Callithrix jacchus: one gene and its partners. The protein of the gene in region 1 interacts with the protein of each later gene in a pairwise test. Links are inferred from orthologs where the notes say so. Each region holds a gene or a part of one and is shown on either strand. Other genes may lie near its edges.

Region 1 (9,878 bases):
TCTCTCTTCACAGTCAACACATAACTAGTCTCCTACCAAACAGAAACACAAAAACCATCAGAAAAGAACTCCTTCAGCTTCTCCTACCATTTCTACAATGGATCCCATTCCAGCCTCTCCCAATTCCCTCCTCCTGACAAAGCCTATCCTGCCACAAGTGCTCTGGATCCCATCTCCAAATGCATATTTGGGATTACCACCCTCCCACTGCAATCTTCCACCTCTCCCCACCACCAGACCCTTCACATCAGCATTTGAAAGTGCTTGGGTTTACTCCAGCATAAAGTACTGTCCTTGGTCTCCAGGTTTCCCTTGTCTTTGCCCCTTCTGTGTCCTCCCCTTCACAGTCAAATGACCAGAAAAAGTGGCTGCAGACTGAATGTTTCTGTCCACCCGAAAATTCATGCTGAGGAAACCCTAATACCCTACGGGTGTCCACCCCAAAATTCATGCCGAGAAAACCCTAACGCCCAGTGTGATGCTATATAGAAGTGGGAAATCTGAGATGCAACTATGATGCGATTAGTACCCTTACAGAGAGAGGAAGAGAAAAGAAATCCCCGCCACCACCCCTTGCCAAGTGAGACTACAACAAGAAGGCAGCCACCTACAAGGCAGGAAGAGGGCGTGCATCCGAAACCTGGCTGTGCGGGCACCCTGATCTTGGACTGCCAGCCTCCAGAACTGTGAGAAATAAGTGTTTACTGCTTAAGTTACCCAGTCCATGGCATTTAGTCATGGCAGCCCAAGCTAAGACAAAAGCGTATACACTTCCAACTCACTCTAATCCAACTTCAGCTTCTGCCACCAATCCAATGAGTGTCATGATCAGTGTTCACCTCGTCTTGAAAACCAAAGGTCATTTTCAATCAACTTGCTTGATCTCTGTTGGATCAGTCCAGTTTCCTCCCCGCTTGCCTCTCCAGCCCCCACCCCCATGGATGCATTTCTTGGCTTCCTGACATAACACCCTCACTGTGGCTTTCCTACATCTCTGGCTGTTCCTCATGCCAGCTTCTCCTCTGCTAGGGGGCCTTTAACAGTCTGGTATTCTTCAGGGGTCTAGCCCAGGTGCTCTGCTCGCTCTCTCTTCCAAAGTGACACTACCTACCCACATTGCTAGAATTACCACCAATCTGTCAGTAACTCCCAAAGTTACATCTTTAGCCCCCAACTTCTGAGCTCCAGACCCTCACTACTAATTGCCAACCTGATCTCTCTCCTTGAGTGTCTCACTGACTCTGCAAATTCAACATAACATATGCTAAAACAAATTAATTACCTTTCCCTCCAAGACAAACATTTGCTCTTTTCCTAGTATTTCCTATTTCAATAAATGACACCATTAATGGTTCTTAAGACATATACCAGGGAATCAATCACCTGACTTGTCCTCCCTCACCCCCCATCCTTAGCTAAAATTTTATTTTAAAATTGCTATCACTTATATGGCAACTATCCCTTAATAAAAAATAAACAAAAATTCCTATTGTTTCTGCTTCATAAATACTTCCTGAATTAATCTACTTCACATCATCATCTCTTGCATAACTATTACAATAATATCCTTGCTGGCCTTTCTACAACCCTGTCACTGCCCCCAACGATTCGTTAGGTTCCTTGTTCTCACAACACTCTCTGTTGCTTCTTAGCAGGTCCTACAATAATTACAATCCACCTACTAAGGACCTAATTCCACCTTTAATGTCTACTGCACCTCAGAACTGTAAGGGCTATCAAGGCAGGCTCTGGGATTTCCATTAACAGTTCTGGTCTGGCTTTCTAGCCCTGTGCATGGCCCTCTGTTGTACTGTGCCCACTGCTGAAAGAACGGGCATATTATCCTGTCTCCCCAAGTATCTAAATCCTTTCCACCCTCTATAGGCCAGCACCAATGTTTGTTCCTCTCTCTGTTCTCCTAACTACTGCCATTCCCATCACAACACTCACCATGTACTGCCTTGCATCATGATGCACTGCCTGGATATGTCACATCTTCTACAGAGAATATGAGCTGTAAAAAACAGAAAGAATGAAACCGACATAAACATGTTTCCCCAACTGCCAATGCTAAAAAGTACTTCCGCAATTACCATAACACTGATTCTGCAGTTTCCAATACACTTAGCCTACTAACAAAATTAAAAGCGTGTTGAACTGCATTAAAGTTTCCAACTACATTTTTAAATGTCCTTAAATTTTAAAATGTCCTTAGCACTTTGGGAGGCTGAGGCAGGCAGATCACCTGAGGTCAGGAGTTCGAGTCTAGCCTAAGCAACATGGAGAAACCCTGTCTCTACTAAAAATACAAAAGTAGCCAGGCATGGTGGCACATGCCTGTAATCCCAGCTACTCAGGAGGCTGAGGCAAGAGAATAGCTTGAACCCAGGAGACAGAGGTTGCAGTGAGCTGAGATCATACCATTGCACTCCAGCCTGGGCAACAAGAGCAAAAAATAAATAAATAAAATAAAATAAAATGTCCTTATTACTAGTTTTGCTGACTCAAAACTATCACCAGCTCAAAAGACTTAAATCATAGGCATAGATCATCTCTACTTTGTTAAAAGACGAGGGGAAAAAAAATCATTTCCCCTCTCCCTCTTCATATTCTAGTTTCCTTCTTGGTAAAAACATGTAGGCATAGACCAAACACAAACATCACAGTGAGGCCAGCATTCCAATTCAAACATAACCATAATCTTGTTAACACAACAGTTACGATTCTTGATTTTCATTCTCAGTTCCTCCCACAGAAAAACATTGTAAACATGAATGATTTTCCAAATACTTGAACTTCAGCAAAACATCCAAACAAACTCATAAATATTGAGTACAAAAAGCTTTAACATAGAAACATACTCCTAAAGTCTTTCTAACTAAAAGTCTCACCAATAGAACTTTACTGTGTAGACTTTCGAATGGCTCATGAAAATAATTTCAGATTATGTTATCAATCACTGTGCTTAATAAATAATGGGCACCAAATAATATCTGATTTTTTTTTTTTTAGAGACAGAGTCTTACTCTGTCCCTAGGCTGGAGTGCAGTGGTACAGTCATAGCTTACTGCTGTCTCTTACTCCTGGGCTCAGGCAATCTTCCCACCTCAGCCTCCAAAATAGCTAGAACTACAGGCCCAACTCCTGATTATGATCCAGTCCCATACCCTCATGATAAACCTGGGGCCCAGACAGCTCCTGCCACCATAGGCTACTCACTGACAACAGAATCAAGTTCAAACTCTGTGCTGGCATTTAAGACCCTTGAGACTCTGAACCCAGGCTTGTTCTCCGGTACCTCCTGAAAGAGCCTACTACCCCACATTTTCCCAACTGATTACCATACAAGTACAAAGAACCACCTAGTTCTTTCCTCCCATTCTCCTCTCTAAAATCTCCCACCCTAGGCGGAGGTTGCAGTGAGCTCAGATCACACCATTGCACTCCAGCCTGGGCAACAGGAGAGAAGCTCCATCAAAAAAAAAAAAAAAAAAATCTCCCACCTAGGAATTTGTCCAATGAATTTCCATCCATCTACCAATCTCAAATGCCACCTCCTCTATGAAGCCCTTCCTGATTCCCTTAAGTAATCCTATTCCCTCTATACTTAATTCATTCACTGCACTTACCAGAGGCTGCCTCACATCATGGTGAAGTATGCAAATGTCTAACTCCTCCACTAGATTATAAGTTCCTTGATGACATGGGTTGATTCAGTCATGTCTGTATCCCATATCCTTCGGGAAAAGCATCCTTCACACTGTAGGTGGTCAATAAATGTTTACTGTCTCACCATTAGTATGTTTCCATGTTGCTACTGTACATTTCCCTTCCATGTACCTCCACAACAGAAAGCAGACCTTTTCACTGATTCAGGTGACATTTAATGAGCCCATATATGGGAAGCACTGTCCCAGGCCCTGCAGACTCAGAGATAAGAAAGACATACAGCCTGTAGGGTTCAAGGAACTCAGAACCCACATACAAATAAGTTTTTTTTTAAATACAAATAATGCAATAAACACAAAAAGGAGATATGTGCAGGTCTTAGGGAACACAAAGATGTATGCTGAACCTAGAGGCGGGCAAAAGTCAGGGTCATAAACACTCTTTTACAGTGCGTAACAACAGCTGAACATTCACTACCAGATCCTTGTGGATGTTTTTGTAGTTAGAAAATCTAAAAATACTAATCATGAAATTGACCTATTAAAGGCACAATCCGGCTGTGTTGTGAATGCAAACTTTACTTCCAAAGTCAAGGAATTCACTGCACCTGGAAAAGTAACTGTTTTCTCCGTCTCTTCTCAGTTGCTGTTTGAAAGCAGAGACACTGAGGGAGCCGTCTTGAATAGTTAACACGGCCAGGAACGTCAGTACATGTAAAAGAGTTGTAAAGTGTGACTACACTTGTATTGAGACCTCCCTCTTTCCCCAGGTGGATCTGCAGGGCAGTCACCTTCATCCTGCTCTGTAACTGCATGCTTAGTGTTTGCATCTCCCGCCAGACCTTGCGCCCCACTAGACAGGCGCTGAGCTCAGGATCTCGCTCCCCTCCGAGAGCCGGGCGGCCCCAGGCCTGGACCACAGCGTGTACTCCGCAAATGAATGAAAGGTCTCCTTTTTCACTTCCATTTATTTGCGGAATCCAGGCCTAGGGTCGTTCTTTTGCCCTTAGCTGCAGATCGGAAATGGGGCTGCCCGACCCCAATTACCGGACGCCTTTCACCCCAGCCCCAGAGACTCCAGCCCCGTTTAAATTCTGACACTCGGAAACTGTCTTTTAACACTTGCAAAGTACCCCTTTTACCTATAAAAGGCTCTCAGGCCGCGAGATCCCCGTCAGAGCAAAGCCAGGCTACTACTGCAGGCACCAAGACCCTGGCGCCGCTCGAGCCTCCGGAACAGGAAACCGAGGGAATTAAAAAGCAAATCTGAGAAAGCTGGGCCAAGGGAAGAAAAACGCTTCTGCCCACCGCAGGGCCTTGTACGCGGTGATTGGACACGTCAAAGAGAGCGATGGACGTCTACACCAATAGTCAGTAAAAGACCCTTTGGAGCCTGCCCTCCCTCCTCCTAAATCCTCCAATCCAAAAACGCAACCGGGGGAAGGCGTGCTTCCGCCGGGAGAGGGGAAGCCGGACTGAGGCGCCTGCCTTCCCGGGTCCTTTCCAGCTGCCACGGCTTTGCTGCAAAGCTGACGGGCGCAAAAACATGAGTGACACCGCCGGATGGCCCACTGGCCTCCGACGTTACCCGAAGCTCCCTGTATGGGTGGTGGAGGATCATCAGGAGGTGAGCGGACGGCGACCGGGCTCTGGGGCAGAGTCGGCGACGCCCTGACGCTCCGAGGACCAAGCAGACAGCGTAGCCTTAGCCTCGGAGGCCTGAGAGTTAGCCAGAGTTAAACTGCCCGATTACGTTGCTTGGGGAAAGACACTAAAACAGCTAACTAGGAAGAATAGGAACTAACGTTTCTGTGCGCTTCCTACGGGTCGGGGCAATGTATTTACCTCGGTTTGCCCCAAATCCCAGGACCAAACCACTGGTAGGGTCGGGACTCGAACCCGGACGGTCTGGCTACAGAGCCCCGTGTCCTTAACCTGCAGTTAACTCTGGCTTCCAAATGTCTCCTGGCATCGCCATCACAGCCGTGCTGTTTAGATGGGAGGCTTTATGCTTGGAACCTGGGCTCTGATCTGAAATGGGGACAGCAATCATAGGACTCACGTTAGGAGTATTATTGTGTACATATTGTGTTTAAAAAGTTTTTTTGTTTTTTTTTTTTTTGAGACGGAGTCTTTCTCTGTTGCCCAGGCTGGAGTACAATGGCGTGATCTCAGCTCACTGCAGCCACCGCCTCCCGGGTTCAGGCGATTCTCCTGCCTCAGCCTTTTGAGTAACTGGGACTACAGACTCCCGCCACCATGCCCGCCTAATTTTTGTATCTTTAGTAGAGACATGGCTTTGCCATGTTAGCCAGGCTGGTCTGAACATCTGACCTGAGGTCGGCCTCCCAAAGTGCTGGGATTAAGGCGTGAGCTACCACGCCCGGCCCGTATTGTTTTAAAAAAAAAAAAAAAAAAAAAAACTTAACACGGTGCCTGCATATATAAATACTAAAAAGGGTTTCCATGTTTATGGCCGGGCTGCTTTACAGTAGCTAAATTGGTGTCTTAATCTAGACTTTTCCAAGTCAACAAAGGAGGCCCATGGATCTAACAAATTTGTTTTAAAGTAGCATCAGTAAGCTTGGGGATGTGAAGCGGTTCTCTGGATGTTAAAAAAGAAGGATTTACTGACGGCGAAAATTAATAGGAGAGGAAGATAGGTTTCTCAGGACCTAGATATAATGTCTATGACCTTGAGAGAATGAGAAAGCCTGGGTTAGACAGTGCTTTCAAATTAGGTATTAAACCTAAAACTAGAGAAGATGGAAGAGGAGAAATGGCCTTTACAGACCACCTAGCCCAACCCCACCATTCTCAGGGTACCAGAAAGACCCTAACCAGCCTGGACAGCAGAGCGAAACCCCACCTCTACAAAAACTGAAGTGAAAGAAATAGCTGCATATAGTGGCATGTGCCTGTAATCCCAGCTACTCAGGAGACTGAGGTGGGAGGATCTCGTGAGCCCAGGAGTCCAAGACTACAGTGAGCCATGACCACATCACTGCTCTCTAGGCTGGACAACAGAGTAAAACTCTACCTCTTTTTAAAGAAAATAAATAAATAAATAAAACTTTGAGACCTAGGGTACCTTGAACACCTCATTAATGTTAGAACAGGCATTAAGCCATAGTTTGTTCCTGAGCCCCAGTCCTGGTCTGTTTCCCCTCATGACCTGTTGAGTTCAAGGTGGCAGCAGGAAGGTAGCTGGAGGTGCAAATTGAAAGTTCTGAGGACAAAGTAATATTTGAGATTATCATCTGCACCATTTACAAGAAACAAATTTTTATCTTTTTCCACTTTTTTTTTTTTGAGACAGAGTTTTGCTCCTGTTGCCCAGGCTGGAGTGCAATGGCATGATCTCAGCTCAGTGCAAGCTCCACCTCCCAGGTTCAAGTGATTCTCCTGCCTCAGCCTCTCTAGTAGCTGGGATTACAGGCACCCGCCACCACACCGAGCTAATTTTTTTGTATTTTTAATAGAAACGGGGTTTCACTAAGTTGGCCAGGCTGCTCTCGAACTTCTGACCTCAGGCAATCCACCTGCCTCAGCCTCCCAAAGAGCTGGGATTACAGGCGTGAGCCACTGCACCTGGCTCTCTTTTTCCACTTTTTCACAACATAGTATGCTTTCGATATGTACACTGTTTAGCATTGTTTTTCAGTCTGCAGCGGGGTATGTGCTCATGGTTTCAGTATTAATTCTGATTGTATGCCTCTGTCATTTACAGGTTCTACCCTTTATATATAGGGCCATTGGCTCAAAGCATCTTCCTGCCAGTAATATAAGGTTTTTACATTTTGATTCACATCCAGACCTCCTTATTCCTGTGAATATGCCAGCAGACACCGTGTTTGATAAGGAAACACTCTTCGGGTAATCAGTGATTTTATTCATGGTCTTTTGTGTTTGAAGTACAATTCACAGATAATAAGCAATTATAGCAAATAGACTTTGCTAACCTTATGGGTTTGGGGAGTTTTCATTTCTTTTTGTCTTTTTCATTTTATTTAGAACAAGTGTTGACAACTTTCTTAAAGAGCCAAATTAGTAAATGTTTTAGGTTTGCTGGCCATATGGTCTCTGTTGCCACTACCTATCTTTGCCTTTGTAGTATGAAAGCAATCAGAGGCACTGTGTGAATAAATGACAGCGGCTGTGTTCCAATAAAACTTTATTTACAATCTGGGCATGGTGGATGAGTCTGTAGTCCCAGCTACTCAGGAGGCTAGGGTGGGAGGATCACTTGGAGGCCAGCAGTTCCAGGCTGTAATCAAGCCTGTGCATAGCCTCTGCACTACAGACTGAGCAACGTAACCACACCACACCCCATCTCTTAAAAGAAACAAACAAACAAAAAAAAAACTTTGTTTACAAAAACAGCCTGGCCAATGTTTAATATTTGCTAAAACATTACAGACACCATTGGATTCTCATGTCAATTTCTGCATTTAGTTCATTGCCATATGTTGTTTTGATTGAAATATATGCTGAAAATTCAGGCTTTCACAGACATGTAATTGGAAAAGGAAAGAGTATTTTCATAGCCTTTTCAGATAATAGTCTGATAGTACAAGAAAACTTGACAGGTAGTAGTTTATGAAAGCTTAGCTGAAATGTGGAATTCAGCAATTCAGTGTCAAGTGTGAATAACCATAGTTTATTGATCAATCCTTTCAAGATAAATGGTGCCCAGCTCGAAGTTCAGTCACAAGTGCTCTTCCTTAAGACAGCTGTTATGCTTCAAACTGTATAGCAGAAGAGCTTTCAGTGCATTTCTGAATTTGCCACACAGAATATTTAAAAATGTATACTTAGGGTGGAAAGTTAATAAAATTGAGATATTCTCAAATGAAACTTTTTTATTTATCTATTTATTATGCTGGTGGTTGGTAATGAAAAATACAGTAACTACTAACAGTTTGGTGTTGCTGCCTTAATTAATGTTGGAACATCAACCCACCATTGCCTTTGTACCATCTTTGCAAATGTCAATAAATGAAAACAGGAAATAATACCTTAGTACTTTTTTTTAAATTCATTTCCTTTGGCCTTGATTTGGTCTTTTTTTATTTTAATTGCATTTTAGGTTTTGGGGTACATGTGAAGAACATGGAAGATTGTTGCATAAGTACACACATAGCAGTGTGATGTGCTGCCTTCCTCCCCATCACCTATATCTGGCATTTCTCCCCATGCTGTCTCTCCCCAACTCCCCACCCCCCACTGTCCCTCCCCTATTTCCCCCAATAGACCCCAGTGTGTGATGCTCCCCTCCCTGTGTCCATGTGTTCTCATTGTTCAACACCCACCTATGAGTGAGAACATGCGGTGCGTGATTTTCTGTTCTTGTGTCAGTTTGCTGAGAATGATGGTTTTCAGGTTCATCCATGTCCCTACAAAGGACACAAACTCATCATTTTTGATGGCTGCATAGTATTCCATGATGTATATATGCCATATCTTCCCTGTCCAGTCTATCATCGATGGGCATTTGGGTTGGTTCCAGGTCTTTGCTATTGTAAATAGTGCTGCAATGAACATTCATGTGCATGTGTCCTTATAGTAGAACGATTTATAATCCTTTGGATATATACCCAATAATGGGATTGCTGGGTCAAATGGAATTTCTTTTTCTAGGTCCTTGAGGAATTGCCACACTGTCTTCCAAGTACTTTTTTTTTTTTTTTTTTGAGATGGAGTCTCTCTGTCACTCAGCCTGGAGTGCAGTGGTGGCATGGTCTCGGCTCACTGCAACCCTCCACCTCCCGGGTTCAAGCGATTCTCCTGCCTCAGCCTCCCGAGTAGCTGGGATTACAGGCACCCACCACCACACCTGGCTAATTTTTGTATTTTTAGTAGAGATGAGTTTTCACCATGTTGGCCAGACTGGTCTTGAACTCCTGTATTTTTAGTACAGACAGGGTTTCACCATGTTGGCCAGACTGGTCTCGAACTCCTGACCTTGTGATCTGCCGACCTCAGCCTCCCAAAGTGCTGGGATTAGAGGCAGGAGTCACTGCACCCAGCAATACGTCAGTACTTTTATGAAAATAGTTTTGTCATAGTGATGTCCCAGAAAAAGCCTCAGGAACCACCAAGGGACCACACTTTGATACCTGTGGTCTTAAAATATTGTGGATGAAATTACACTTGGGGAAAAAAAAAAAAAACTAAAAGTTTTAATGTTGTCTTTCTATTTCTTTTCCA
Region 2 (10,168 bases), on another chromosome or scaffold:
TGGTGCACAAGACAGAGGGTCCAAATTAATTACAATGTTGTTTACTCAAAAAGAGACTGTGCCAGATTCCACATGGATGTGGATAGAGAACTTTTTTTCTTTTCTCCCAACGTTTTAATTTAAAAAAAAAAAATAAAAGTGCCAGCCACATAGAAAGGCTACTGAAAGTATGCATATTGAATAGCATCGTGATTTTATTGGCTCAAATTTAGGTTTTTCATCCAAATAAACACAAGAGCATGACTGTTAGTGGTTTCTAAATGGTACCGTAGGTCAGAAGGACAAACGCTGAAGCCTTTTATCAAGTTTATTTTATTAATTCTATGATGTACCCTCACCACTTCTTTTTTTTTAGACAAAGTCTCACTCTGTCACCCAGGCTGGAGTGCGGTGGCACGAGCTCGGCTCACTGCAACCTCCTCCTCTGGGTTCAAGTGATTCTCCTGCCTCAGCTTCCAGCAACAGGCCTGCACCACCACACTAATTTTTGTATCTTTAGTAGAGTTGGGGTTTCTCTGTGTTGGTCAGGCTGGTCTTGAACTCCCGGCCTCAAGTTATCCACCTGCCCTAGCCTCCCAAACTGCTGGGATTACAGGCCTGAGCCGCGGTGCCTACCCCCTTATTCTTTAATACTTTTGTAAAATGCCATTTTTTTTTTCTGACATTAACTCTAACTTATCTAAATAATGCCCAGGTGCAATACTATTTAGACCATTCTAAATAATTTAATTTATATGCTTTGCAAATGGAAAATCACAAAGATAGCCATGTGCTTATCTCTGATTAATATTGTGCCTTGTATAGTGCCTACCTTCTCCCCACATGAAATTTTAATCCATAGAGTCTTGAATATATACTCTTATCCCCAAAAAAATTTTTAAAGATTCTAGCATAATATGTATGTTGCCTTTGGATATCCCTTAGGTTTAGAAAACAAATAATTTGCCTGTAGAAAAATATAAAGTGATTTGAGTATTTTAAATTAAAACCACCAAATATTGAAACACAAAAAGTAGCCCTGTAAATTCATAGTTATGAATATTCATCTGGCCCTGATTATCAATTTAACTCCAAATGCTAGAGAAATCAGTCTGGTAGGCATGGTCGATGTGGTGAGTAGGGGTTGGGGAAACTAAGGAGCTCTAGTAATCAAGAGCTAAGCAGTTCAAATTGGGGTGTGTTTCAAATAAATGTTATTAAATATTACCTGGAAACAATCATGCTTATTAATAGATGCTTGAGAGACATGAATATTTCCCACCATCACAAAATCTAATGCCTTAATTTATTTCCCACCACAAAATCTAATACCTTAATGTATGCATCAAAGGGGTTGTATTCTGTTGCCTACATTCTTCATACCGACTCCAAATTTCTTAACAATAACTGTTTTAAAGAACCTGTTGAGCATTCTGAGGAATTCTCCTTAGACAGCATATTGCTTCTTTGCTATTCATGATGAAAAAGATTTCCTAGTCCCTTCTACACAGTTAGCAGATATTTTTTAAGACTTTGAGTAAAAATGTACCATTTTATTTTTCAGCGATCACACTGGAAATATGGCCCAAAGTGACTTCCTCTATCCAGAGAACCCAAAGAGGCGGCAGGAAGTAAATCGTCTTCACCAGCAGCTCCTTGATTGCTTATCTGACAGCTTCGACGTCACCAATAAGCTGACTGAGGTTCTAAATGTGCACTTGGGGTGCAGGCTGGCCTCCATTGAGATGAAAAGAGACGGGACTATCAAAGAAAACTGCGACATCGTCATCCAAGCCATTAGGGACATTCAAAAGGAAGTGCAAACGGTGGATGAAGCACTAAAAGATAAGCTAGAGCCAACCCTCTACAGAAAACTTCAGGATATTAAGGAAAGAGAAACAGAGAAAATTGCGATAGTGCAAAAGGTTATTTCAGTCATTCTGGGAGAAGCTACATCTGCAGCCAGTGCAGTCGCTGTGAAACTTGTGGGCTCCAGTGTCACCACTGGCATCATTAACAAGTTGGTCACTGTGTTAGCACAAATTGGTGCTTCTCTCCTTGGTAGTATTGGAGTTGCTGTTCTTGGCCTTGGCATAGATATGATTGTCCGTGCCATCCTGGGAGCAGTGGAAAGAACACAGCTTCAAGCAGCCATCAAAAGTTATGAGAAGCATCTGGTGGAGTTCAAGTCAGCCTCAGAAAAATATAATCACGCTATTACTGAGGTCACCAATACAGTGAAACAGCAAATGAAATGAACAGCCATTTTATCTGCACTGGAATGTTTTTCTGCTTCCTTTTCAGTAACATGTTTGTTTCTTTGATTAGGTTCATTTTTTAGATGCTTCCAATATGGACTTGGAGAGGGAAATTAGAGATGCCAAGACTAGATGACTAGATGAGTTTTGAGTCAACAATGGCTGGATCAGTTGGTGCTAGACCCTGTGAGGTAAAAGAAATCATATCCCTGGATGTTTTCACACCCTGCTCTACCAGATTAACATCAGGGTAAATGATATCACAGAGTGCAAGTATAGGGGTTACTTTTTCCTTTTCTAATTTCATAAAAATTCTTAAATTTTACATTGGCAGAGACTCTCATTTCTATCACCAGCTTCAAACATGATTTAGTTATAATGGGACATACTTAGTAACTTCTGCCTAGAAATAAATTGTGGGCCTTTGAATGGGACAGAAACACTACCATATTTTTGACCATCAGAGTAAATCTGGTTTTCTGTAAACTGGAAGAGACTGAAAAACAGTTTGTAACAATTTGCTTCAATTAGGACAGGAAGAAGATCTGTAAACATCTACTAATTACATAATGTAAACTGGATGGATTTTAAAATGGTAAAAATCAAAACTAAAAACATAAAGGTCCTGTTTCTATAACTGCAATCAACCCTGACCAACTGTGATGATTAAATATGGCTCAAGTGAATTTTCAAACACTGAAACATTTAAAAGACAAGCAAGCTAAGCACAGCTACACATGAATAAAATGCATTTAGGATGCAGAATAGAAGGTCAGTACTTTTAAAGCATTTGTCATTTAAAGGAAAATCACAGTTTATTATAACATAAGTTTTCAGAAAAAAAATACATAGTTTCATTTTCAACACTAGCAAAAAGGAGGCAGCTGCCTTTGCTACATGACATATTAGGTGAGCCATGTCACTAAGTACCTAATTTCAGAAAGCGCCAAAGTCCATGGAGGCCTAATGGTTCAGCTGAACCTCTGCAGATGTGTTTGTTTTCTCAATCCTTTGTCAATGAATAATTCCCAAGAGGACTCTTTTAGTCTATACTGACAAAATTATTAATATGCTGTTGATGCCAGACTGTTTGTTATAGTTGATTCTCCCATCCAAGTACAAGAAATGTATTGAAATAAAAACTGCTCAGCATATATTAAAAATATTAGCTAGATGAAAAATTTTAGCTACTTGACTTTACTATTTCCAACATACACTTTGTTTTCTCTTTCTTTTCTAGCATTGTTTTTCAAAACTAGTTGCAAAACTATGACCACTACTATGGTGCAGAGAAAGAAAAAAACACTAGCTGCAAAACATTACAACTTAGTTCACCTTCAACATTCAAGATTATTTTCTGTTTAATGTATTACCTGGTTTATCAGCTTTAACCTGTAAGATCTTGTCATTGCTTTCTGAGACTCAAATTCAGTCTAAAGTCAAATCAAGAATTTCCTAACACAAAGGTAAGTTTAGGTATTGGAATGATAGGAATGCTCTTACACCGCTAAGGGCAGTTTAAAGATTCTGCTAAAAATTAATATGTATCCCCACCAACATTTGAAATATTTATAACTGATGGTAAGAATAGCCTTCCTACATGGGATACTCAGGTTAAGGTTAGAAATAACTAAGTGTGTCCTGTAGGATAATTTTTTAAATGTTTAAACTTACCTTTAAGGGAAATAAGTGGGGGTAGACTCAGGGAAAGAGAGGCTAGAAGGTACGGAAAGAGGGAGTAGAGGGTAGGGACGAAGCCTAGAGTTAAGTGAATAATCCCGTACGTAGAGTGACATCATAGAGGACTTTTGGCTGATGAAAATCCCGTACGTAGAGTGACATCATAGAGGACTTTTGGCTGATGAAAAGACCAGTCTGGAATAGAGCCAATATAGATCAACTTCCCCACGCATAAATTTAAAACCGACTGCATATGTATGCCCCTATCTCCTCTTCAAAACAATACTAATAAATAATAAATCACCGCCCGTATAAGCAATTTGCGACTCTAACAAGGGTGCCGATTTATTTGTTCAGGTCTACGAATGTTCTGTTCTGCCTGCCTATTAAATTTCCACACGTACCAGGCGCCCACATGGGATAACCTGGTGCTTACAAAGCAGATTAAACTCAGTGGCAAATGTTATCTGGGTATTCGTCCACAAACTGAAACACCCCTAGAGGATGGCACCTGCCTGCATCATAGGAAACATAAATATCCAAAAACTAATGTAATTCTATGAAACAGAAAACGCAGAACACTTCTCTATCTGCAGAACGCACGGTTCTCTGACAGCTCAACGCACTAAGATCCCAGCAATCAGGTCAGAACGCCTCCAACTCGAGGCAGGATCGTCAACCAATCAGATAGCAGTTTTCGTCTTCTAATTCCTATTGTACTAGATACTCGCAGTGAGGCGGGCTCTTAGCCGATAACCAACCAATTGGGTATTGTATGGAGCCGGAAGCGACTCTGGTCCTGGATTCTCGGGTATTCTCTATGGTTCCGGGACTGAGCTACGCAGAGAGAAGGCTGGACGGAGGAACGGGAAATGACGTAAGGATTGCGGAGGGGCGCGAGGTTTCAAGATGGCGGTAGCTGAGGTGTTGACCGAGGGGCTGAGTTGAAGGCCCTTACCGGTAAAAGAGGCCGGGAATCGCTCCCTCCCCGCTTCTCGCAGTCCTGGGAGCACAGCAGAAGTGTGAGTGTATGGGATTGCTTTTCTACTCTTTCCTTGTCTCTTTGGTCCCTTCTGCGGCCCGCGCAGCGGCTTCAGGGACACCCAGCCCCTCTGCCCCGCTCCTCCTGTGGGGTCTCCGGTTGCGGACTGGGGTATTGCTGGGCCTGGGGTGGCGCGACGACCAGCGGTTACGCGGTTGGCTTCGCCCGGGTCGGTTGGGGCGGCTTCCTGTGCACGTTGATTGGTAGCCTTGGGTTTCACGTCTCGTACCTGGAATCATGGTCGGTCAACCGTCGCTATGGTTTCGGCAGTTGCTGCTTTTGCCTCCTTTGGTGAACCTGGACCCTATGTCATTGAAGCCTCTTTGGCTATTTAGAGTTCCGCAACGGTTATTTGGCCTGATTTCCCAGTCGGCCCCGCTTGCAGACGAAAAACTAATCTGTGCAGACTTAAGCGCCAGTATCTTCCGTGAAATTCTCTGCAATTCGTTGTGTTTCATTTGTGGGGGAGGAGATTCAGAACGTGAGCCTGAGGACCCTTAGGAGAGCACGGAAACGCACCCAATCAAAGCTTGTATTTGTACTGATTTTGCTTGTTTTCCTCCTTCCCCACGTCCTGCTCCCTGCTACTCTCCCACCACCCAGTTTTTCTGACAAGGAAACCACTTGACAGGGTATATGGGCCAGGAATGTAGATCCATTATAAAGATTATAGTTAAATAGTGAGTCAGACATCACAGGATGTGTTTTTTTGTAACCTCATTGTATCCTCAGAGCTTTGTTGTAAAGTAATTAATGTCCCCATTTTTTAGATGAGAAAGCTGAAAATCAGAGCCTTTGTCACCTTCGTCTTGAAGTAATTGCCAGCAAAACAGCTCTGAAACATCTGGCGGAAATCGGGGCAGTTGAACACTTGGTGAAAGAGAAATTAACTCTAATAAACTCGTCTGACAAAATCTCCCCTTTCTTACCTTTAAAAGGTGCCTACTTGGAAAAGGAAGCAAATTTGTCCACCTTTATTACTGGAAAGACTGGGCTTCAAAAAATTAAGCCCCATTCTTTTGAAATAAGAGGAAGAAGTCATGTAATATTGATTGTACTGTGTTAATAAAAGTTTTAGCTTATAAAATATTTTTTCCTCAAACATAAGTATTATTTTTAATTACCTTAAGAAATATATATTGGGAGCCAGATATTGGTAAGAAAATATATATATCTTAGTATTTAAGTTGTGGGGACCTCTTAATATAGCACTAATTTCAAATATTTGCATTTTCAGTTGTGTTTTGAACTCTTGAGCGTCAAGAATTATGTCCGAATTAGAACCGAATCTGAATTAAATATGCTTAAATCAGTGAGAATTAAATATGCTTATATCAACAATTTACTGTTTTAGAGGTGTTGAGAACGTACAGGATACATGCCAAGAAAAACCATGGAGAGAGGCAAGGGCGAGGTATTTGTTTTGAGCCCAGATTTATACGCTCATTCCCTTCTTCTTCTTTTACAATTATATGTTAATAAAGGGACGTTATAGTAGAAGGACTAATGGCTTCTGATGTTCATGGTTTGTGTCATACCGTTAACGCATTTTCAATTTTTTTTTTAATCAGTTGACATAGTCAATGCTGTGATCCATAAAAAAGGGTTAAACTGATGACTTGAGCATATTCGAAGTGGGCTTCACATTCATCATATTTCTAAAGAATGATAGAGATCTAAATTTTCATGGTCAAGAAAGTTGATGCCATCTTTCGTGGACATTAAAGTCAAAACTAAGGAAAGAACGGTCTCACAGAATTTATAATTAAAGGAATGTTTCTTTTCAGAAATTAGTAAGGACTAGAAAAAGAAATAAATAAATATAGAAGATATAAGCTGTTTCTTTGTTTTCACCTTCACAGGTTTTTCTTTTTTAATGAACAAGTAAACCATATAGATTGTCAACATGGGACGGAGATCTACGTCATCCACCAAGAGTGGAAAATTTATGAACCCCACAGACCAAGCCCGTAAGTGGCCATTGGTGTGGAATGATGAAGTAGGATGGTGTTAAAAATTGCAAATATTAGGGGGTTTCTTTCCCTGTGGCTTAATTGCAAGACCAGCAGTGATAAGAGGAGTAAATTGTATATTTAGTGTTTGTATGGGCACATGATTAAGACTTTAAACATGCAAATAAATAAATTAGTAACAATATTTTTCAAATTTGATTGACTTGCACAGTAGAATTGGCTGAAAGCTTTCTCTTTGTATTTGAAATTTTGAGCAAATTAGTTTTGCAAGCCCTTGTTTAGCATTTTATGTTATCCTTTTCCTTCAGACTCATAGTTGTTTTTTATGAAACATTTAAAATGTCTTCACATTTTTGTCGTAATTTGAGGGATGCTATTGGCATGTAGTGAATAGAGGCCAAAGATGCTGCTATTTTACAGTGCATACTATAACTCCCCACAGTTAAGACTTGCCTGTATTAAATTGGAGGAAATGCTAACGTTCAAGATTCAAAAGTTTTATTATATCTCCCTCTCTTTTAAAGGAAAGGAAGCCCGGAAGAGAGAATTAAAGAAGGTATGATTTCAGAAGCGTCTTGTAAAACTTTAAGTATTGTTTGGCACATCTTGTGATTTGGGATTAGTGGGTTTCAGAATAACGTTTCTAATTTTATGAGAAAAGATGCTTTATGCTTTTTATAAAAACTGTGAAATAAACTAAGCCAAAATTTACTAAGGAACTGAAGTAACTTTGCAGAGAAGCTCACACAGGTTATAATGATATTTGACTACTTTTCCCAATGAGTTATATACTTTTGAAAATCATTCTTTTTTGTTATTTATTAAAACATAACTTTTAAAGCCTACTGATGAGAATGGAAATAAATATGATGCTAGACAGCTTTATATATCCATTTTCCTGATTAGCTGTATATTATGTATATTACATTAGCTTAACTATATATATTGGTTTCTAATATTTATAGCTATATTAGCTTTATGTATCCATTTTCCTAATTAGCATTTTCCTCTTAGCTGTTGGATTTGTGACTAAGTACTTCAACGGAATAAGAAAGAATTTGCTTTATAGTATTGTGCCTTAATACATAGAAGCGACACAGATTTTAAATAATGTTCAATTGTGTCTTCATGTTTAGCATTAAATTCTGCAAAATTTTTAAATCTTTTTTTTTTTTTTTTGAGACGAATTCTTGCTCTGTCACCCAGGCTGGAGTGCAGTGGTGGAATCTCGGCTCATTGCAACATCTGCCTCCTGGGTTCAAGCAGTTATCTTGCCTTAGCGTCCCAGGTAGCTGGGACTACAGGCACCTGCCACCACGCCTGGCTAATTTTTGTATTTTTAGTGAGACAGAGTTTCACCATACTGGCAGGCTGGTCTCGAACTCATGACCTTTTGGTCTGCCCACCTCAACCTCCCAGAGTGCTGAGATTGCAGGTGTGAGCCACTGCACCCAGCCGAAATATTCTTTATATAATTTCAGCACTTAAACCTTTGAGCTTTTTTTTTTTTTTTTTTTTTTGATAAAGAAAATTTTGGAATTCAGCTAGCAGAGGTTTTAGAACAGGGGGCAGGAACAATCACCCGAAGTCTTTAAGAAAATAAGAGGTAGAAAAAAAAGAAATTTAAAGTATGTATGTGTGTTTAAGTAACTGCTAAAGATCTCACAGAGTTAAAAGAAATGCTTTCCTAAGAAAGCACATCTTAAAAATAGCATTCATCTTTTTGAAAGGTCTAAACGTTTTTAAAGCAAAAAAAATTACATAGCTGTTTCTGGTGGTTGAAACAAGTGATCAGAAGCCAAGGAGTTCAAAATTCTGTTTAGATTCTTAAAGCAAGTTGAAATAAAACTCATGAGTGTCTGACTTGTTGACGTTCTGCCCCTCTTTTATTTTTATAAGAACAAAAAACAGCGCATGATGGTTCGAGCTGCCGTTTTAAAGATGAAGGATCCAAAACAGATTATCCGAGACATGGAGAAATTGGATGAAATGGGTAAGAATTTACAAACAGGCAGCTGTAACAGTCTGGTACATACAGAGGCAGACAGGTAATGAGTGAAGCAGCATAGGCGTAAGTAAAACAGAACAGCGCAATAGCATTTGATGCTTGGATTTAATGTTAGTTTCGGGAGGCAAAATGGAGTGCTAGAGGGCTGTTGCAAACTGGAGACCCCAGATACCAGAATGAGAGGGGAGCAGTCATTTGGCTTTCAGCTAATTGTTACTATGAGAGAACAGAAGCTCAGTTTGGCCAGCTTGCTTTTCAGGAAAAGAATCTGGTTTATGAAATAACTTTGGGTTTTTTGTTTGTCATCTTTTATTTAATGCTGGCAACTACCATGTAAATCTAAGTATCAGGCCACTGTGAATATAAGGCATTTCCAGTTTATCCAAATTTTTAGCAAAAATTTCCAATTTTTAGCAAAGATGTAGAAAAAAATCATCGAATACCTAAAACCAAATATATAAAATACTATACCAGGATTCTTTGCCTTTTTCACATTCCATAGCATCATTTTATTCACTCTCCATGTGCATCTTAAGTATCGCTGCTTTGATATAACTGGAATCACGTGAAATGGCTGGATGTTATGTTTTTTTGTATCCAAGTTTGAGAATCATTGATGCCGCTGCGGGAAACTTTACCCTAACCCACAGATACCCTTTCTGTTTGATATTAGAGCATGCAGAATATTTTATTTGTTTCTTTTAATAGAAATTTTCAAACATGCAGAAAATAAAATAGTCTAGTTAACTTCCATGTGCTTTTCACCTGGCAAATTTTTGCCACTTTGTCTTCTACCCTTTGTCATCTTTTTAAAATAGTATTTTAAAGTGATCTTTACAAGTTCTATGATTTGTCCAAAAACAGAGTAGTAAGTAAAAGAGATGCAGTGAAACTCCTCAATGATACATTAAATGGAGTACAAAAAATCCAGTCATGGCATTATGCTATTAAAGGTTTCTGAAATAATGTCGGAGAATCTGGGCAGCTAGCCTGGGTAAGAGTTCTGGGTTGGGCTCCAGAATTCCAGATCTTTCCCAGTTCAGCTATAACTGATCCTACTTCTTTATTCTGGTCTAAATATCAGCAAGGACAGTTACTTTCCTTGGGGAATCAGGAAATCCTTCATTAAATGACCCCAGATGTTATGTGTTGTTTTCAAAGGAGAAAATAGTAATAACTGAGATTTTTCGAGTAGTTATCTTGCTACACACCAGTTTTTTCCCACTTG
Region 3 (9,937 bases), on another chromosome or scaffold:
AATAACTGCTCAACACTGGCAACAATGCGAAAACCAGTCATTAACAGGTGAAAGGATTAACAGAGTGTGAGACAGTCATTTAACAGAATACAACTGAGTAATAAAAAGAAACAAAACTGGGTGTGGTGGCTCATGCCTATAATCCTAGCACTTTGACAAGCCAAGGCAGGTGGATTGCTTGAGCCCAGGAGCTTGAGAACAGCCTGGGCAACAAGGCAAACCTTGTCTTTCTTTTTTCTTTTGAGACAGAGTTTTGCTCTTGTTGCCCAGGCTGGAGTGCAGTGGCACAATCTCAGCTCACTGCAACCTCCGCCTCCCAGGTTCAAGGGATTTTCCTGCTTCAGCCTCTCGAGTAGCTGAGATTACAGGTGTTCACCACCACACCTGGCTAATTTTTGTATTTTTAGTAGAAATGGGGTTTCACTATATTGGCCAGGTTGGTCTTGAACTCCTGACCTCAGGTGATCTACCCGCCTTGGCCTCCCAAAGTGATGGGATTGCAGGCACGAGCCACTGCGCCCAGCCTGGTGAAAATACAAAAATTAGCTGGGCGTGGCGGCGCACAGTTGTAATCGCAGCTACTTGGGAAGCTGACGTGGGAGAATCGCTTGAGCTTGGGAAATTGAGGCTGCAGTGAACCATGATGGTGCCACTGCACTCCAGTCTGGGTAACATAGTGAGACCCCATCTCAAAAGGAAATAAAAAAGAAACCACTGACATGGCCAACAACATGAGTTTCTTTTTTGTTTTCGTGTTTTGTTTTTTTGAGAAGGAGTCTGGCTCTGCCGCCCAGGCTGGAGTGCAGCAGTGCAATCTCGGCTCACTGAAACCTCTGCCTCCGGGGTTCAAGCGATTCTTCTGCTTCAGCCTCCTGAGTAGCTGGGATTACAGTTTGCGAGCCACCATGCCCGCATAATTTTTGTATTTTTAGTAAGGACAGGATTTCCCCATGTTGGCCATGTTGGTCTTGAACTCCTGACCTCAAATGATCCACTCATCTTGGACTCCTAAAGTGCTGGGAACATGAGTGAGTTTCAAACATCACATGCTGGGGAAAGAAGCCTCTCAATAGGCTACGCATTGTATGATTCAGCTTATATGACTTTCTGAAAAAGACAAAGTTATAGGAACCAAAACAAATCTGTTAGGGCCAGGGGCAGGAGTAGGGGACAGAGCATGAAAGGGCAAGAGAAAATTTCTTTTCTTTTTTTAAGATGGAGTCTTGATCTGTCACCCAGGCTGGAGTGCAGTGGCACAATCTCAGCTCACTGCAGCCTCCCTCTCCTGGGTTCAAGTGATTCTCCTGCCTCAGTCTCCGGAGTAGCTGGGACTACAGGCATGTATCACCACATCTCGCTAATTTTTGTATTTGTAGTAGAGACTACAAGGGCTTTCACCGTGTTGCCCAGGCTGGTCTCAAACTCCTGGCCTCGCGTGATTCGCACACCTTGGCCTCCCAAAGTGCTGGGATTGCAAGTATGAGTCACCATGCTCGGCCACTGGTAAGAGGAAATGTCTTAGGGTGATGGAAATAATCGTCTTGATTGTGGTCATGTTTTAATGATATACCTGTATGTCAAAACATGCAATTTCAGCCAGGCATAGTTTAAATATGATCAGTTTGTGTTCAGTGAATTACATTGTAACAAAGCTCAGAAGGAGGGAAGTAAGAGAGGGAAGGGACAAAAGGAGAGAAAAAGAGAAAACTTATATGGCAATCATAAACAAAATGAAAGATATATACACCCTGTGACTCAGAAATGTCTTTTTTTTTTTTTTGAGACAGAGTTTTGCTCTTACTGCCCAGGCTGGAGTGCAATGGTACGATCTCAGCTCACTGCAACTTCTGTCTACCAGGTTCAAGCAATTCTCCTGTCTCAGCCTCCCAAGTAGCTGGGACTACAGGCATGTGCCACCACACCAGGCTAATTTTTATATTTTTAGTAGAGAGGGGGTTTCACCATGTTGATCAGACTGGTCTTGAACTCCTGACCTCAGGTGATCCACCCAACTCGGCCTCCCAAAGTTCTGGGATTACAAGTGTGAACCACCGCACCAAGCCATCATTTATTTTTATTTTATTTTTAGAGACAGGGTTTCACTATGTTGCCCAGGCTAGCCTCAAACTCGTGGGCTCAAGCAATCCTCCCACCTTGGCCTCCCAAAATGCTGGGATTACAGGCGTGAGACACTGTACCCACAAGTATCATTTTTTGAAAACTATGCCTCACTAAAGATCCAGTCCCAGTCCTAAGAATTTTGATCCAGAGACTAACTGCATCATCATAGTGGCAAAACTCAGGAAGGTCCAGGAATTGTCCAGCAGTAGGATAACAGTTGATTTTATACTACGGCAAAGTTGCACTATGAATCGTGTAGCTAATAAAAACGGGAGTTAGGTATACGTGTATAGACGGTTAAGTGGAAACAGCAAGTTGCACGGTAGCTGTATGATTCCATCCTGTGTGGATTCTAGTTCGTGCCAGCACTGAAAAAGGGTCTCACAGGAGGGCAGGTATACTGGTTACACTTGACAGTTCCCAGGGTATCACTGCCCCCTAGGGGACATCCTAGAGATCGCGCTACAGACAGTCCTTGATTTGACGGTTTTAAGATTTTTCAACTTTATTATGATAGTTTTATCGGGATGTAATCCCATCGTAAGTCAAGGAGCATCTGTATTTGAAATACATTTCATTACAAATTATCTTCCTGAACACTCTAATGCAACAGCTCTTATCAAGGTCCCCAGAGACCTTGCCAAATTCAACTGTCAATTCTTTTTCCTCATTTTAACTCAGGGACACATGACACAGCTAACCACCACCCCCCCCATCTTGAAATATGTTCTTCAGGTCGGGCGTGGTGGTAATCCCAGAAATTTGGAAGGCCAAGGCGGATGTATAACTTAGGAGTTCGAGACCAGCCTGGACAACATGATGAAACCCCATCTCTACTAAAAATACAACAATTAGCTAGGCATGGTGGTAAGCACCTGTAATCCATCTTGGTGACAGAGCAAAACCCCGTTTCAGGAAAAATAATAAACAATAAACGTCCTTAGCACGGCCCACGAGGCCCCATGGAATCTGGTCCCAGCCTGTCCATTCAACCTCATCTATTACAATCTGGGCACTAAAAATGTGGTCTGCTGACCAGCAGCGTGGAAGTCACCTGGGAACGAGTTTGAAATGTAGCCTCTCAGGCCTCCCTCTTCATCTGCTGGATCAGAACCTGAATTTTAAAAAGGCCCGCAGATAGATGCTCGTTAGAGTTTAAGTAGAGCGTCTTACAACCTTACAAGCTTCCCCTTCACCCTGATTCGGTCATAAGGACATTTCATATTCCTCACTTTTTGCTCCTGCGAACTGACCAGAAGAACCTGCCTTGCACGCAGCTACAGATAAATACGCTCCGGCTTTTGCGCAGGCGTACTACGACTACCGGCTCGCTCCTATTTGAATACGCGTGCGCTCAGAGCCCCGGCGACAAAGGCGGGGCCTATTTGCTGGGCAGTCCCGGCCGGGGGTGGGCGGGACCTGAAAGGAGGAGAGGGGTTTCCGCTTCCGGCAGAAGTCGGAAGTCACTGTCTCCCGGGTAAACGGAGCTTTTGCAGCGAGGCAAGCTGAGTGCTGGTGCTGATCGTGCAGGTGGGCGTTGGGGCCGGGCAGGACTGGGAGTTCTTCTACTCCGGGAGTTTACGGGGTCCTGGAGGAGGCGTCTGGGACCCCGGGCTTGTGGGGAGGCAGGTCGGGGAGACTGACTCCCCCCGACCCCATCCTTCCAAGAGCGACCTACCGGGGCGCCTGGCTCCTCCCGGCGGCCGTCGGGAGGCGATGCCGAAGACTCGGTGAGTCTGTAGGAATAGCCAACCCCCTACCTCTTGGGTCTCAGCAGATTCGAGGATGACTTCTTTGCCATCCCCTTTTGGCGCGCTTGGACTTAACGTTGTCACCGGACAGGCCGAAGCCTCTGCAATCCTTATGCAAGCCAGACCCCATTCATGGGGTGGGGGGGACTGTAGTCCCTGGGCAAAATGAGATTCTGGGGCTCATACATAGATTTTATTTGGACTTTTTTTTTCTTGAGACAGAGTCTTGCTGTGTCGCCCAGGCTGGAGTACAGTGGCGCGATCATAGCTAACTGCATCCTCGACCTCCTGGGCCCAAGCTTCCCACTTCAGCTTCCCGAGAGTAGCTGGGACTACAGGCTCGTGGCTAATTTTTGTAATTTTGTAGAGATGAGGGGCCTCACTATGTTGCTCAGGCTCGTCTCCCACTCCTGGCTTTAAGTGATCTTCCCACTCTGGCCTCCCAAATTGATGAGATTACAGTCCTCACCTCCCAAAGTGATAGAGTTACAGGCATGAGCCACCACATCCGGCTTTTTGTAGATTCAGATTCCAGGGACTGATTGATTGGGTTATTCAATAATAGTTATTGCCGGGCACGGTGGCTCATGCTTGTAATGCCAGCACTTTGGGAGGCCGAGGTGGGAGGATCGCTTGAATCTGTGAGTTCCAGACCAGCCTGGTCAACACGATGGGTTCCCTGTCTCTCCAAAAAATACAAAACTTAGCTGGGCATGATGCTGCAGCTAATTTGTATTTCAGAGATAGAGGGGTAGGGGGAGGATCACATAAGGGATGTGTGAGAGAGAAAGGGATTGACGATGAATCCAAAGTCTTTGATTTGATTATCCAGAAAGATGGAGTTGCTGTTAGCTGAGATGAGGAAGACTGTGGAAGAGCACGTTGCGGTGTCAGCGGCTTGGTTTTGGACATGTTATGTTTAATATTGGGTGGAAGTTAGACATCAGGGTGGAGCTGTGGCTGAGGCAGACAGATCAGAGTCTGCAAATCAGGGGACAGACTCAAGGCTGGAGAAGCCAGTATCCTCAGTGTAAAGTAGGCATGAAGCCCTAAGACTGGGAGAAATCTTCATGAAGGTGAGTATAGCCAGAGAGGAGAGGATTCAGCGATTCAACTCCTGGATTCTCTCTCTCTTTTTTTTTTTTTTGAGATGGAGGAGTCTCACTCTGTCACCCAGTCTGGAGTGCAGTGGCACAATCTCGGCTCACTGCAACCTCTGCCTCCCGGGTTCAAGGGATTCTCCTGCATCAGCCTCCTGAGTAGCTGGGATTACAGGCGTGCACCACTACACCGGGCTAATTTTTGTATTTTTAGTAGAGATGGGGTTTCATCATGTTGATTAGGCTGGTCCTGGACTCCTGACCTTGTGATCCACCCACCTCAGCCTCCCAAAGTGCTGGGATTGCAGGCATGAGCCACTGCGATGAACCTTTTGTTTTGTTTTGTGTTTGAGATGGAGTCTCACTCTGTTGCCCAGGCTGGAGTGTAGTGGCATGATCTTGGCTCACTGCAACCTCCACCTCCCAGATTAAAGCGATTCTTCTGCCTCAGTCTCTCTAGTAGCTGGGATTACAGGCATGTGCCACCATGCCCAGCTAATTTTTGTTTGTTTGTTTTTTAAAAGACCGTGTGGTCAGGCTGGTCTTGAACTCTCGACCTCATGTGATCCGCCCACCTTGGCCTTCAAAGTGCTTGGATTACAGGTGTGAGCCACCGTGCCCCGCCAAGTTTTGTATTTTCAGTAGAAATGGGGTTTCACCATGTTGACCAGCCTGGTCTCCAGTTCCTGACCTTAAGGGATCCACCTGCCTCTGCCTCCCAAAGTATTGGGATTACAGTCCTGAGCCACTGTGCTGACCTTTTTTTGTTTGTTCTTTTTTAAAGTTGGAATCTCACTGTCACCCAGGCTGGAGTGCAGTGGCATGATCTCAGCTCACTGCAACCTCTGCCCTCTGGGTTCAAGTGATTCTCTTGCTTCAGCCTCCAGAGTAGCTGGGACTACAGGCATTCACCACCACACCCAGCTAATTTTTGTATTTTTAGCAGAACGAGATTTCACCATGTTGGCCAGGCTGGTCTCCAACTCCTAACCTCAAGTGATCTGCTCACCTTGGCCTCCCAAGGTGCTGGTATTACAGATGTGAGCCACCGGACCTGGCCCAAACTCATGTGCTCTCTTCATGAGAGCAAGTTGGCAGAGAGGCAGGAGCATAGGAGATTAACAGGAGCCACCAGTGAGGCAGGGGATAGGGAACATTTGGGGTCCTGAGAGGCACGTGAGAAAGGTGGGAGGAGGGACCCCTGGAATGGGAGGACTGCCATTGGGATGGGCAGTATGGAGCCACCTCAGTTTGGAGGCAAGGGGTGTAGAGAGATGGGAGGGAGTGCAGATGGCTCTACGATAAAACAGCCTGCAGAGAATGGATCATAGCTGGAAGAGGATAAAGAGATTTTTTCCCCCCTTTTTAAATGAGGAGAGAGGTAATAACAAGCATGTGAGTGATCTGGTAGAGCTGGAAAATTTGATGGTGCTCAAAGAAAAGGGGATGGGAGCCAGGGCAGAGTGAACAAATTGTTTTTGCAGAAACATACTTCCATAGTAAAGGAGGCATGCCGAAGCCGGGCGTGGTGGTGCACGCTTGTTGTCCTAGCTACCCAGCAGGCTGAGGCCAGAGGATTGAGGCTTCAGCAAGCTGTGATCACACCACTGCACTCCAGCCTGGAAGTTAGGAGTTGGAGACCAGCTTGGCTTTGTTGATCTTGTCCAACAGAGTGAGACCTCATCTCTTAAATAAAGAGGAAAGGTGAATAGCTGAATGAATTGGTCCTAGGAGCTGTCTTTGGATTGCTTTTCTTTACTCAGTGAATTGGCAGCATCACAGTTAAGAGCTGGGGATGTTACATAGGAAGCAATCACCAGATAATGAATAAAACTCCCGTTTATTGTGGAAGATCCTGGCAGGCTGCTGACCTCCCCTGTCACGGAGAAACGAATGATGCTAGAACCAGCAGTTGTGTATGTGTGGGGTGTGTGTGTTTTGGAGGAGGCGCCACCATAGGAGGCTCAGGGATGGCAAACACAGTGCCTGAACACCGTGCCTAGCAGGGCAGTTGGTTCATTGGTAACCACTGCTGTTTCCCCACCCACCTGCCTCCTGGACTTCTCTTCCTAGATATCCCTCTGCCACCCAACCTCATCATTTTCTCCAAAACCCTGTCCTTCCTATGTGTTAGACATCAGAGAATGTTGTCAGCTTCTCCCGCTACCCATTGTGTCCCCACCACAACCTTGGGAGTCATCCTGGACTCTCCTCTCGTCACACTCGCTCGTTCCGCCCATGTCTCTTCTGTCTCTCTCACCCACTGCCATCTCTACCTCAACAGCCCTGTCCTGGCTGTGCCTAAATCCCTCAAATGCACAGGTGACTTTGTCCTTTCCACTCCTTGTAGCTCCCAGGATCCATCCAAACACCCAGAACCCTCCCACCTGCCCCTCCTCCATCCCCCACCTGCCAGGGGACAGACACCTGCCCCTGAGCTTTCACACAGTTTTCCTGTACTCGGAGGTGCCTGTCCCCACCTCTCTGCCCTGCAGTCTGTCATCTGGATGGAGGTTATCAGATGCCCTGAGTGTCACTTCTCCTGGATGCCACTTGCATTTCCCTTGACAAGAGGAGCAACCAGAATAAAATCACCAGCTCTGGGCGTGGTGGCACGCACCTGTAATCCCGGCTACTCAGGAGGCAGGAGAATCACTTGAACCCGGGAGGCAGAGGTTGCAGTGAGTCAAGATTGTGCCACTGCAGTCCAGCCTGGCAACAGAGTGAGACTCCGTCTCAGCCAGGCGCAGTGGCTCACTCCTGTAATCCAAACACTTAGGGAGGCTGAGGCAGGCAGATCACCTGAGGTCAGGAGTTCGAGACCGGCCTGACCAACATGGAGAAAACCCATCTCTACTAAAAATACAAAATTAGCTGGGCGTGGTGGTACATGCCTGTACTCCCAGCTACTTGGGAGGCTGAGGCAAGAGAATCACTTGAATCCGGGAGGGGAGGTTGTGGTGGCTGAGATTGTGCCATTGCACTCCAGCCTGGGCATCAAGAGCGAAACTGTCTCAAAAAAAATTTTTTTTTAAATCACTAGCTCCTAGGCACTTAGGCTGTGCCCAGTCCTGAACAACTGGCTTGTCTTGGAGTCTCTTGTGCCATCCTTGCCAGGAACAGTGGCTTCCTTGTTTTGGTGCCAGAGTGATGGGCCAGCTCTGTGCTAAGTACTTAACTTACTATTCCTGGTGTCAGCCCCACAAGTCTCCTCTGAGATGGCAGCATTGTTTCGATTTTTTTCTTTCTTTCTTTCTTTCTTTTTTTTCTTTGATACAGGTTTTCACCCTGTTGCCCAAGCTGGAGTGCAATACCTGGATGGTAGCTCACTGAAACCTGGACCTCCTGGGCTCAAGTGATCTTCCCATCTCAGCCTCCCAAGTGGCTGGGGCTACGGTGTACACTACCACACCTGGCTTATTTAAAAATTTTTTTTTTTAAGAGATGGGGCCTCACTGTGTTGCCCAGGCTGGTGTCAAACTCCTGGCATCAAGTGATCCTCTCACCTTGGCTTCCCAAAGTGCTGGCTGGGATTACAGGTGTGAGCCGCCATGCCTGGCCTTGTCTCTATTTTATAGACTAGGAAACTATGGCACAGAGAGTTTAAATAACCTGCCCAGGTCACGCAGTAAGTGAGAGAGATGGGGTTAGAACCTCCTATCACCCCTTCCATCCAGAGTGGGATGGGGGATTGTCCTGTACCAGGACTGCGGGCCTCATCCCTCAAGGGCAGAGGCCCCAGCACCATGGTGGAAGCCCCTCCTTCACATTGGGCCGCTGCTAGACCCTCTTCCCGGCCTGCTTTCTAGAGCATTGAGCTGGGGAACTGTATGGGTTCCCCAAGCCACTGACACCTGCCACTCCCTACAGGCTCATCCACCTGCAGACATGGGTCGCAGAAAGTCAAAACGAAAGCCGCCTCCCAAAAAGAAGATGACAGGCACCCTTGAGACCCAGTTCACCTGCCCCTTCTGCAACCACGAGAAGTCTTGTGACGTGAAAATGTGAGTGGTGAATGGGGCAAGGAATCCTGCCTCATGGGGTGCCCAGGCGTCCCACTCCCTTCTCCCCACCGTCCTCCATTCTGCCTCTCTCCTCCCTTGGTGGAGGCGTCATCACCCACAGGCTCAGGGCACATTGCTAACCAGTCCCTTCTATTCGTCTGTTTCAGGGACCGTGCCCGCAATACCGGAGTCATCTCTTGTACTGTGTGCCTAGAGGAATTCCAGACGCCCATAACGTGTATCCTTGGAAACCTGGGTTTTTTCCAGAGGGTGGGGAGGGGTTGGAGTCCAGACCCTGCTCCTCTGGCCCAACCGTCGGCCCTAGTGCAGGGCCAAGGCCATCCAGAGGAACGGGTGCCACCTCCTGATTTATGTGGGGTGAGAAGGTACAGGGCAGGGGCCCAATGCAACTGATGGCCCTTGACTTAAGCGGCACAGATCTGTCAGAACCTGTGGACGTGTACAGCGATTGGATAGACGCCTGCGAGGCAGCCAATCAGTAGCAACACAGAGGACCCGCCCCCTGGGCAGCCCCACCTGCTGTAGACCCAGCTGCTCGCGGGTCCAGAGACATTCCAGAGGTCCAGGGTGTGGGTCCTGGACTGTGGCAGCCCTCTTTGTGTGTGGGAGTGGGTGTGGCGTGGCTGTGGGTGTGAGTGTGGCTGCACTTGTCACTGTGGGGTGGCCGTGAGTGTGTGTTCATAGGCACACGGTGGTGTCCAGGGGTTCCTGGGCCTGAGGGGCCTGAACTGACCTCACTTGGCTCCAAAAGCCTTTGCTGTGTTCCCTTCTTCAACCCCTGGCCCCCCAGCTTTGGCACCGTGGCTCCCCCCACTGGAAGTGGGGGACTGTTTCCTGATATCCTGGATGGGGAAGCCCAGTAGAGGCTGGAACGGAACCTCTCCAGCCTCCTCACCAGCACTGTGCCCATCTGAACTGGACTTCCCACCCTCCTTCTCCA

The links.
Region 2: the proteins of C2H5orf22 (region 1) and WBP11 interact in binary tests that used the Homo sapiens proteins (3 or more experiments, as listed by UniProt). The two-hybrid records come from large-scale screens. The link is inferred for Callithrix jacchus from reciprocal best matches to the Homo sapiens genes C5orf22 and WBP11.
Region 3: the proteins of C2H5orf22 (region 1) and ELOF1 interact in binary tests that used the Homo sapiens proteins (3 or more experiments, as listed by UniProt). The two-hybrid records come from large-scale screens. The link is inferred for Callithrix jacchus from reciprocal best matches to the Homo sapiens genes C5orf22 and ELOF1.

Annotation. Positions count from the first base shown.
Region 1 is NC_133503.1:173,753,093-173,762,970, reverse strand, and holds the start of C2H5orf22 (UPF0489 protein C5orf22 homolog), read left to right. Parts: upstream 1-5,114; 5' UTR 5,115-5,214; coding exon 5,215-5,295; intron 5,296-7,398; coding exon 7,399-7,544; intron 7,545-8,757; exon of another isoform or gene 8,758-9,853; coding exon of another isoform or gene 9,854-9,878. Other genes in the region: DROSHA (ribonuclease 3), read right to left, coding at 1,951-1,970.
Region 2 is NC_133510.1:8,522,058-8,532,225, forward strand, and holds the start of WBP11 (WW domain-binding protein 11), read left to right. Parts: upstream 1-4,760; 5' UTR 4,761-4,794; exon of another isoform or gene 4,795-4,945; intron 4,946-4,976; exon of another isoform or gene 4,977-5,196; coding exon of another isoform or gene 5,197-5,440; intron 5,441-5,729; coding exon of another isoform or gene 5,730-5,897; intron 5,898-6,196; coding exon of another isoform or gene 6,197-6,207; exon of another isoform or gene 6,208-6,373; intron 6,374-6,821; 5' UTR 6,822-6,865; coding exon 6,866-6,929; exon of another isoform or gene 6,930-7,456; coding exon 7,457-7,488; intron 7,489-8,831; coding exon 8,832-8,925; intron 8,926-10,168. Other genes in the region: SMCO3 (single-pass membrane and coiled-coil domain-containing protein 3), read left to right, coding at 1,560-2,237; uncharacterized protein LOC144577829, read left to right, coding at 5,197-5,440, 5,730-5,897, 6,197-6,207. UniProt on the Homo sapiens protein: Activates pre-mRNA splicing. May inhibit PP1 phosphatase activity.
Region 3 is NC_133523.1:10,694,809-10,704,745, reverse strand, and holds the start of ELOF1 (transcription elongation factor 1 homolog), read left to right. Parts: upstream 1-3,586; 5' UTR 3,587-3,851; intron 3,852-8,842; 5' UTR 8,843-8,860; coding exon 8,861-8,976; intron 8,977-9,143; coding exon 9,144-9,214; intron 9,215-9,414; coding exon 9,415-9,479; 3' UTR 9,480-9,937. UniProt on the Homo sapiens protein: Factor involved in transcription-coupled nucleotide excision repair (TC-NER), a mechanism that rapidly removes RNA polymerase II-blocking lesions from the transcribed strand of active genes.